Linked DNA regions of Drosophila melanogaster. The protein of the gene in region 1 interacts with the protein of each later gene in a biochemical or structural test. Each region holds a gene or a part of one and is shown in the gene's direction. Other genes may lie near its edges. The genes, in order: side-II and beat-VI.

Region 1 (5,090 bases):
TGACAATATACTTTCTTGGTTTCCCTTTTGCTTTCCGCCCAATTTGTGTTGCATACTTTGCCATACTGTTTTTGCGCATGGAAGAAATTCCATTAACAATACGCATCAATTTGCATCGATCATTGTGGGGCTAACAATACGTCCAATATGCCACACAGAAACAATGAGGGCAAAAATAAAATAAAATACAATCGAGTTGCATTCGTGGGAGAGTAAGATAAATTCTCTTGGCAGCTGTGCTAACGAGCAGCCCCGGGGAAAGCATAAAATGGTGGAATGAAGGGGGTTTTTTGGGGGGGGGGGGGTTTAAGAGTAGTTATTGGGGGTGGGTTATAGACTTTTTGTCAAGGCAACAAGCAAACAAGTATTTGCTGAGTAATGCCAACGCTTTTATTTCACGCGAGCGGAAAACGCGAAGAGATTGAGATTCCTCTGCAACTTGGCCATGTCCTTTGCCTTTTGCTTAATACAAATGAAAATGGATGAGCTACTAAGCGTTGTCTTTGCTGCACTTGCAATTGTTGCATTCGAACGTTGCATTGCATTGCATTGACTGAACTGAACTGAACTGAACTGAATAAAATGAAATGAAAATGTTGCAACAAGCTAACACAACAACCAAGCCCGGACCGGCCCCGCCCCAATCCGCCTCATCTTTAGGAATTTCCCACCCAATTTTCCACCACTGGGAATGCACTTTGTTTCTATGACACGCCGTTGTCCCCTGCCTCTCGATTCACTTTCTTGCTGCGCATGTGTTTTGTCTTTGTTTTTATGCCATTTATTTATTTAAGTCAATTTCGTAGAGTGTGTTTGAACATTTCGCTGCAATTCATTTTCGGGTTTTATTTTCTGTCTGTCTCCTTCGCTTGCCATTTTTTACGCGTCTTGTATGAGTTTGTACGTATCTTGACGACAATTTTTACTCTGAGTGATTGCAGTTAAAAGCGATGCGACGAAGGTTGATAAAACTCTGGTGGAAGGAGGCCATGGCGCAAGAGGATGAGGTAACTCTGTAGTTAATTAGCTGGTAGTCCCTAGTTTTGATTGGATTTGATCTGTAATTGGTGACAGATGGAAAGGTAAAAGCTACAGTAAAAAAATCAAAATCAAATCTCGCTTTTCCTTTCAACTATTTGACAGAGTTCAATTATTCAGTATTCGCTTTGCTTTTTGATAGCTATTAATTCCTTGAAATATTTCCTCTTTACCTTGTTATTATTTAACTATCTTATTAATTTTAATTTCAGCATTATGTTAGTTCAACAACTTTTTTAAATTGAAAGAAGGCAACATTTTACACAATGTTCAACATTTTACACTACAAATTTACATAGTGGGTGGAGTCCAAGCTTAGCCAAGCATTGAACCACTTTTATACCAAAACTGAGGAAAGTATAAGAGTTTTACTCTTTGCTTTTTGCTCTGTGATTATTCGTTTTGAAACTTTGAATTCTGCTACTGCATGAAATTCTCATGTTTTCTTATCTCCAATTTTTAAATCTCACAATTACCGATCAAAATATAGGCGATTGATAATAGAGACAATAAGTACACTTATTATAGATAAAATATTTTACCTTATTGCATATTTCGGAAAAGGTTTTATTTAAAACTTACTAAAGTAAGTTAGTAATAAAGTAAATAGAGTGAACAGTAGATAAAAATAATAAATATTATTTCCATAGCTTATGTTGGTGAAAATAATATATAATTTTTTGAGCTTGCTTACAAGGCATTTTGTTATTTATTTATATCTGTGCTAAGGATATGAATCTCTTTTTAAGTGAGTTGAAAAAGATTAGCAAAAGCGTTTGATTGCATTTTTAATAATTTAATTTTGTTAACACAGAGAGCGAGCAGTTCATTCATTGCGTTCTCTTTACTCAGCTGCCTTGCGAGATGCTCGTGAGTTTCGCGCTCGTGTTATCCTTTGCTGCGCTCGGCTCTTATCCTGCAGCTCGGATCGGGCTCGTTCTCGGCGTTCGGCTACCGAGAAGCGGAGCTTCGGGCGGCCGACTTCCGGCGGGGGACGGTGGGGTCTGTGGGGCTTGTGGGGCTTATGGGGCTCTGAGTTGGCCAGGCCGATTCAGTTGAAGCTCAGCCGTCGGACTGTTTTGAACGTGGTTTTGCAGGGATGCTGACGCTCGCTGCGGCAGCCATCGAATTAGCGAAGTTATCGGGTCTCGTCCTGCACACACACTCACACCCACCCACAAACGCTGAGAATCGGGTGCGCTGTTTCGCGAATAAATATAATTCTCGTACCGCCAGAAAGGACCAATTATCGAAATCAATAAGAGCTAATTAGAATATACCTGCGCCAATTTGGTTAGGGTTTTGAACTGCATTGAGGTTTGCGTGCTGTTGGTTTTCCGAATAATAAAGGCAAATAAAATCATGCGACTCACTCAGCGAGCAGCTGATATTGTTGCACACACAAAAGGCTACACTACGGCTCCTCTTAGGCGATTTAATTGCCCTGTTCTCGTTTCGGGCATACATTAAAACCAGCAACTAAGTATTTGCAAGTGGCCCAGTGTCTTCGTTGTGTGTGTGTGTGTGTCTGTGTCCGTGTTGTTGTTGTTCGTGTGACCCGGTGTGTATATTCTCGTTACCGTGTGTTTGTTTGTGTTTTGATGGTCACGTGGTCAGTTCAAAGTTGGCTTGGCCCACTGCCTTCTTGTGCGTGACAAAAGTCAAGCAACAGTAGCAACAATAATATTAGCAACAAAAGCAGCAACAGAAGCAACAGCAGCAGCAGCACCACCACCACCAAACACAAATAGCAACAACTGCAATAAAGGATTATCCTGCGTGGGACAAATTTAAATTGCTCGCCAGGTAAGTTGGACGAGCTCACTTTTTGCTCTTTAAGAGTGACTTTTTGCCCAAAAGTTTACTAACTAAAGTTGAAATTGCCAACCGCCCTCGCAGTTGCTGCAGTTAGAGAAAAACGTCTCAGATAAATTAAGCTTCTGGTAACTTTCTAATTAATTAAGTGAGTTTGCCATGTTACATAATTCTTTTTACGTTCTTTTTTCAAGTGGTAAATGTATAATTAAAACAGAAATTATGTCTCGTTATAAAATTGTTCGTCTGGTTGGACTGATATAGTTAACAGTGACTGTGAGAAAACTAAAATAATTAGAAGTAAAATTAGCCTTTTTTATCTTTTTTTAATTTATATATTTTTCAAAAAATGTTGTAAGGTTTTGGTTATTTGCTACTGCAGATATGGCTGGGATTTTTTCAGTGTTGAAGCTGTGGAATTCGCGGTTTAAGCTCTTGTCTCGATGCGCCAGTTTTTCACTTTTGCCGCCCCTTCACTTTTCCCTCGTCGCTAGCAACTTATATTCCCCCGTGATACCCCTCTTTTCCGCTACGCCACTGGGTCGATTGCCGTAACTTAAAATGCGCCAACTGACTGCCAGAAAGTTGCCTAAAACTTTTTGCCTAAAGTTTATTTACTTGTTTTTTTTTTCCGTCTTGCTCATATTTTTTATTTCCATTCCTTTGTCTAGCAATGCAAAATAAAGTAGTGGTATAAAATGTATAAAAAGACTTTCCAAAAGATAAGTAAATGCTTCTGGTAATTTCTTGTAGAAATAAAATATCAACACTTTTTACCAATATTTGAATTTCACTTTGCAGAATAATTCATATGTAAATTTAATGTTGTTTTATTAAATAAAATAAAATGTTTATTTGGCTTTAAAGAAATAATGGAATGACTTCAAAAGTTTCAAGCCTCAGAACTTTCTTAATGTACTCTAGTAATGTGTAATTTAAACAGTGCTCGTTAAAAATGAGTGTTACAATTATGTCAAGATAATAAATAAAAATTAATTTTAATTAGATATTTCATTATATTTTCTGTCAAATAACGGAACACTGCCAAGAAGGGCAGTCACTGTCTTGGCCCTAAAGTTGCAGTTCCTCGAGCTCGGGCCAACTAAAGTTGTGAGCAGCCCACCTGAAGAGGACCCAAATTTCATGCCTTTCGCCTGTTTATTAAATTTGCATGCCGTCTTTCATTAGAGAAAAGTGACAACGTCAGGCCTTTCGCTTCACTCCTGTTCCAAGACGAAGTACTTGCTTACATTTGCTGCTTAGTTTCGGAGAAAATAAATAAATTAGTTCAGTAAATGGAAGTGAAAGAGTGAGAAATTACAAACTTCTGGCAAAGTTAATATTTAAGTCTTGCAGTGATTTTACGAATTTCCCTCTCGTTTTTGGACAATTAAAATATGCAAATGAGCCACCAGCAGAGCCAATGCAAAGCGTCTAAATGGACACGCACGGCTAACCCAAAAAACGGAGATAACGGTGAAGGGGTGTGCGTTTTTGACCGAAGCTCTGGTTGTCCTCTGCCACAGGCAGATACAAATGCCGAGATACAAATGTAGAGATACAAGTGCGTAGGCTGAATTTTTGATTGGCTATGCTGGCGTACTGTCCCCCTTAAAACATTTTTGACAATTTCGAAAAGCTTAATGGCTAATTGAGCTGCCAAGGGAGTGGGAAATGAAAAAGCCAGAGTGGAATGTCGCCTGCATTTGTTGGAGTACAAATTTATGGCGAAAAGTCAATTACGTGCAATGGGTCCAACGAAAATAGGAGAGGGGAAAAGATACATTTCCCAAAGGGATAAGCAGTTAGGGGTTAGTTTACATGCATATATATATAAATATTTGTATATATGGCTTATCAGGAGTACGTATAACATTATCCACGAGTGTGTGCTTACTTCAAAAAGGCATTAAGCCGAAACGTATAAACAAAAGTTAAGCATACCCAACCAAACTTCACCGTTGACGGGTTAATGTGATTTTAATGTACTTTTTACCCTCCCACTCCTTCAAACCCACCGCAGTTTTGCTTACAACTCAGTTAAAGTTTTATGCAATTTCATCATTCTTTTTTAATGCGTGCATTAAGAAAGTTTTTCTTTGCCTTTTGCACTAATGCAAATTGAAATGTAAATCTTCATTTGCCCTGAGTTTTGTTCTGTTGAATTTCGGTATTTCAAGCAAGCAAAAATTTTAAATTGAGCTATGGTACAAATGTCTTGAAAATTTTATTTTACT
Region 2 (5,192 bases), on another chromosome or scaffold:
CACTTTGCAGCTCATGTCAGCAGACAGAAACATCCACATCCACATCCACACTCACAGCCACATCCTCATCCACATCAAGGAAAACGGGACAGGCGGCAAAGGCAGGCCCAAACGCAAAGGCATACTGAACGCAGGACAGCAACAGGCACAGCTTTGTCCAGTTTAATGCTGGGCAGGGTCACTTCGCACTCCAATATCCCCCAGGACACCCAATCCCTGCCCACATGTCGCCGACACATCGCTGATGATTCCATAGCACTTAGATTAGAAGCTTTTCAAAAGCGACACTCGAAGAAAAGCCGGCGTTAATGTCCCTCAAATTCCCTGGAAACACGCGTTTCTATGGTCATACGTATAAATTCGAAGAAATTATTTTTTTTTACTCTTAATGTTTGTATGCAGCGTCGTTTTACACATGTAGATTTAGTTTAGCCCACTCCAGCGTTTTACTGAATTAATTTTCCTTCTCAAAAAGTATAGCATTTCTTTTAAATTCTCGGATAAACTTTTATATTCCCAGAGTTGAAGGGACGCAGCCTAAAATTTAATAGCTATTAGGACCATAAACATTTTCTTAGTGCACTCTATCTTTTTAAAAGTCAGAATCGTGCTTATTTAGTGGCGCCAGTTGGCGGCCAAGTTAATTTTTCAAGAGCCTAAGCGTCCGGAAGCCGATTCGAGTCACCCGATCCTGATTTAAATATGTGTCGCTGGCAGTCGCACAAAAAGAGGCGAATCGGAAGTGGCAAGAATACTTGTATCAACATTATGTTATGCTATGGGGGCCCGAGAGATTGATGCGCGCCCGTCGAGACTTGTCTGGTTTCGGGTTTGGTCCTGCGATGCGGGAAGGCGAAAGTTTCCGGGCTGTCATTGTGTAGCATGCTTTTAGGCGCTGACAATGAAAAACTTTTGTGCTTATCATGCGTGCAAGTTTCGCCAACGTTTTAATTGAAAAATACTTAGCAAAGTCTGTAGCTTTAGTTCCCGGGCTCAAGAGAGTGTCAAATGGCAAAGGCACACCTTTAAAGCAGCCGTTCAAGTGCAATGCACACGCATGGCAGGATAACACCTTGGATCCTGGCATCCTGCGAGTCGATATGCAGCCTGCAAGCTGGGCTCGAATTTAATTGCTGGCTTAAGTTGGCTGGCCTACTAACCTAGTCAGTACGAGACTCTTAGCCCGGCCAACAAGCGCTCTCATTCCTTCCTTCTCTCTCTCTAGCTCTCTCTCATTTCCGGTTCCGCTCTCTCTTTTGGCGACGATGAGGACGATAGTGTTTTTAATTTGGTCGGGATTAGGATGGGTTGCGTGCTTAAATTTAAAAACTCCAGTAGAGCCGGTGTAGAGTGTAGCCAGCCTCCATCTGATTTTTGTGCCATCACGTCCTGTTGGCACGTCTCCGGCTTTCTTATTACGCACTCGTAAAAAGAAACGGCTCCTCCGCCTGACTTGTCCAACTCGTTCGGGATTATAGCCATTAACTTTGGCATTGCATATCGCTGCGTGACGTCTTTAGCGCGTGCAGTTCGTTCGGACCTGGCCTGTTTGTCACTGTAATAAACTTGGCAACAAATTGCCAGCCAGCGTGTGTCTTCCTCTAGCCCTCTTACCCATTCCGCCGCTTGTTTATTTCTTTTGACGTTTAACCCTTTGGTAGCATTTTGACACGCACGTGTCGAAAAAAGGCACATACATTTTTAAGTGATTAAAAAAGTGCGCACACACACACAAATTTCCAGCGAGAGAGAGAGAGAGACGGAAGACAATAAGCAAAAACATTTAAATGCGAGTAACGTGCAAAAAATAAATTGTTGTCAATGCGCGCGGGGCGAAAAAACGCGTTGCAGCCTCTTATCAGGCGGAACGCTTTGGACTTGGCACACAGCATCCACAAAAGGGTCCTGTGGTCCTTTTCCCAATCGTTTTGATCCACAAAATGCCGAAGCGCTCGCGATCCACACACAGCCGACAGGATGCGAGCTCGGCTTTCTGGCCCGTCAACCGAAAACAGAACATCGGCTTGTCGAGCTGCCTCGTTCCGCCGCGACTTCGAGTGCGAATCAGTTGAAAAAGGTCCTTCGTGCGGGTCGGTTAGTGTAACGGTGTTTATAGCGCTCCCACTGGGAAAAAGCTGCCTTCGCCCAAAAGTAAACAACAACAATAATTAAATAACATTTGTCCACCGCCCGAGTGCAGCACATATATATCCATGCGAATGTTCCATAAGTAGTTGGAAAATTTCGCAGACGAAACATAAACGTATTTAAATTATATAAACAAGAGACCGAAATCCAAATGCCCACCGCTAGTGGGCACTGATAACCCGCCGATAACGCGGCTCCGTGGTTCCATTGGCAATTTGCAATTTGCATTGATGAACTGTGCGCGCCGCCCGCAGTGCATAACGAAAGCAGTAACCAAGCCGTAATCCAAATTCCGTCATCCGCATCAACGGAGCGTGGGGTTCATCGATAATCAGCGGAAGAAGAACCCCTGCAGACCTCCAGACCAGAGAATCCTCCACCTGCCCGATTATCCTTTGATGTCTGAGTGAGTGAGAGTGTGTCTCAGTGTGCAAAGTGTGAAAAAGCGCAAAATAAATATTAAAAGCGAAACGTGCGTGGATTAGAAAGCATAAACCGGCTGGCTGGCTGGTAGGCAGGCAGGCAGGATCCTTTGAAAGGAGCAGCAACCACAACAACTACCGCCAACGTGGTAGTGAGAGCAGAAACATTCCCATAAGGTTCGTATCACATCCTATACAAAGGTACCAGTTCAATGCACTGCCACTGCTCTTTGTTTTCTCTGCGCTGGGTTCTTGTTTTCCCAATTTTTCTTTCTATTTTTATTGGGGCCGCGCACGTTGGCGCATAATTTACGCTAACTTTTCACTTTGCCACCAGCAATGCCAGCTATACCAGCTATATCAGCTGTACCGGATATACCTTTTCGCTTATTTCCCCTGGCAAGTGAACTGGAAAGTTCGGCAAGTGCAAACAGAAATTTGAATTTTTCCGTTAAGTGGGTCGCTCAAACTTGCACCTGTCAGAGGCCTTGGGCATTTGGTCAGCGGAGCGAGCATATGCCAACGGCCAACAATCGGTTGACAGCCCGGTCCATGGCCCCCTTGTAGGCCCATCAACCGATCCTGGGCCGTGTAGGTCCTTGTTGATTTATGACAATCGAAGACAGGGAATCCCCCCATCTATTTGCCCAAGTACGAGTACGAGATGTGTGTGCACGGCTCCCGTCCAACTGGAAACTAAATAATTATGTAGCCCAGGTGGGTGGCAAAAGGGGGAGCTATAGAGCTCTCGGCTCCGCATTTCTGTCTCAGTTGGGTTGAGTTTAACGAACATTTATGCGAGTGCGGTTGTTTATGCTCAACCCGAGTTATGTGGCACTCGAGAGGCGTGGCAACCACACACTCACGCACACATTCCCGTTCGCATTCGCACGGGGGGGCTCTTTCCCAGCCGCACTCATACGCCGTGTGCCACTCGGGCTGGGGCAACAACGTTTGCATATGTTCATCAAGAATGAATTAAAAGTTATTTTAAATTCGTGACACTCGCCTAATTTTGCAGGTCTCCAAATGTTTGTGCACAGGGAAAATAACAAGCTTTAAAACCGAAAGATGTATGTAACATGTGGCTATTTAAAAATGGTAAAACTAAACTTCTCATAAATTTCAAATAACATAAAAATCAATTATTAATATTCCGAAATACTAATGAGATTAAGCTCAGAGATATTTCATATCTTTAGTTTGGGGTGTACCAAATATCTAAACAGCAATTAAAGCGCCAAACTTCTGCATTCTTAAGTCACTCTCGTGTGTCTTGTAGAATGTCCCGAGTTTTTTTCACAGTGCTGTTGCTGGAGCTCCTGAGTTAAATGTGTGTTTTGGGTCTGTCAGTTGTTCCCGGCGTTGCTGTGTTACGTTACTCAAGTGGCGGAGGTGTCACCTGGCAGACAGGTATGCTCTGCGACTATGATGCTGCCACTCACGAGCTCTACGCTCTAATGCGAGCACACACACACTCTCATGCTCACACCCAAACACACACACACACACACACGTACTGCAGCCGCAGCGAGTATACACTTATGTGTGCCCCATAGGGGCAATAGTCACCGGAAGGACTCGGCTTGGCAAGTGAATTAAATTTCAAATGTTTCTTAATTTACTTTTTCGGTTTTCTGTTGACAGTTCAAATTGCTATAACAAATTTCCTAGCGCTACGCATGCCACTCATTCATTCGTTCGTTTATTCGTTCATTCATTTCACTTTGCTCACAGGCTCTGAGGGGGCGCACATGCATAAGTGAAATATTATGTACAACTGTCGGGTTTGTTTTTCCTTTGCGCTTTTTTCGCAGCTTTCTTCTTTGCCGTTTTTGCTTGTTTTCTTGTTGAATTTTTCTTGTTTTTTTTTATTTTGTTTGCTGGTCGTTTGGTGGCGAAAATAAATGAAGCCATTCGAGCGCAATCAGAATTTCGCATTAAAGCGTGGCGCACACGCATTTCCAATGCGATTGTCAGATTGAGAGCACCAAACCCATATAGGAATCGTGTTCGAGCACCAAAGTCAAAGTTGAAACGGTTATTTCAGCTCGGGCCAAGAGGATGGCTTAGATGGCAGAATGTTGGCAGCACTAGGTAGAAAAATCGAACGGGGGATCAGCTGAAGAAATTGCAGACAGGTGGCAAATGGAGTAAAATAAATTAAACTGAAAGCTAATATCTGCGGACTTTAAGATGATATATAAAAGTAATACTCTCTTTATTAAAATAAAATGACATGGTCAAATTATATTTTAATACCACATCAGAAATAAAATTTAATAGTAAACATTGACAGAATTTCAGCGAAAATATCGAAATGAAAATAAGATAAATGTAAATGTATTCCATTTGCTGTTTGCTACATTGCAAAATTTGTAGGTTATTTGATATAAATAGAGATGTACATAGAAAAGAGTATAAAATGCACTTTAGTGAATGTTACTATTCCAGAACGAAATTAGATTCCAAACCGCACACATACGGCCAACAAATTCGGGGCCATAATGTTCTCGGATATTACATTTTTCTTTGCATCCTTAAATTTACTACATTATTTCAACTCCGTTTTGCTGATTTCCGAGTCCTTTGGGAAGGGTGCAGGAAAAGTAAACTGCAGGC

What was found.
Region 2: the proteins of side-II (region 1) and beat-VI form a complex in vitro, tested with the Drosophila melanogaster proteins (one study listed by BioGRID).

Annotation. Positions count from the first base shown.
Region 1 is NT_033779.5:14,969,297-14,974,386, reverse strand, and holds the start of side-II (sidestep II), read left to right. Parts: upstream 1-2,086; 5' UTR 2,087-2,844; intron 2,845-5,090.
Region 2 is NT_033777.3:28,416,121-28,421,312, forward strand, and holds the start of beat-VI (beaten path VI), read left to right. Parts: upstream 1-2,087; 5' UTR 2,088-2,747; intron 2,748-5,192.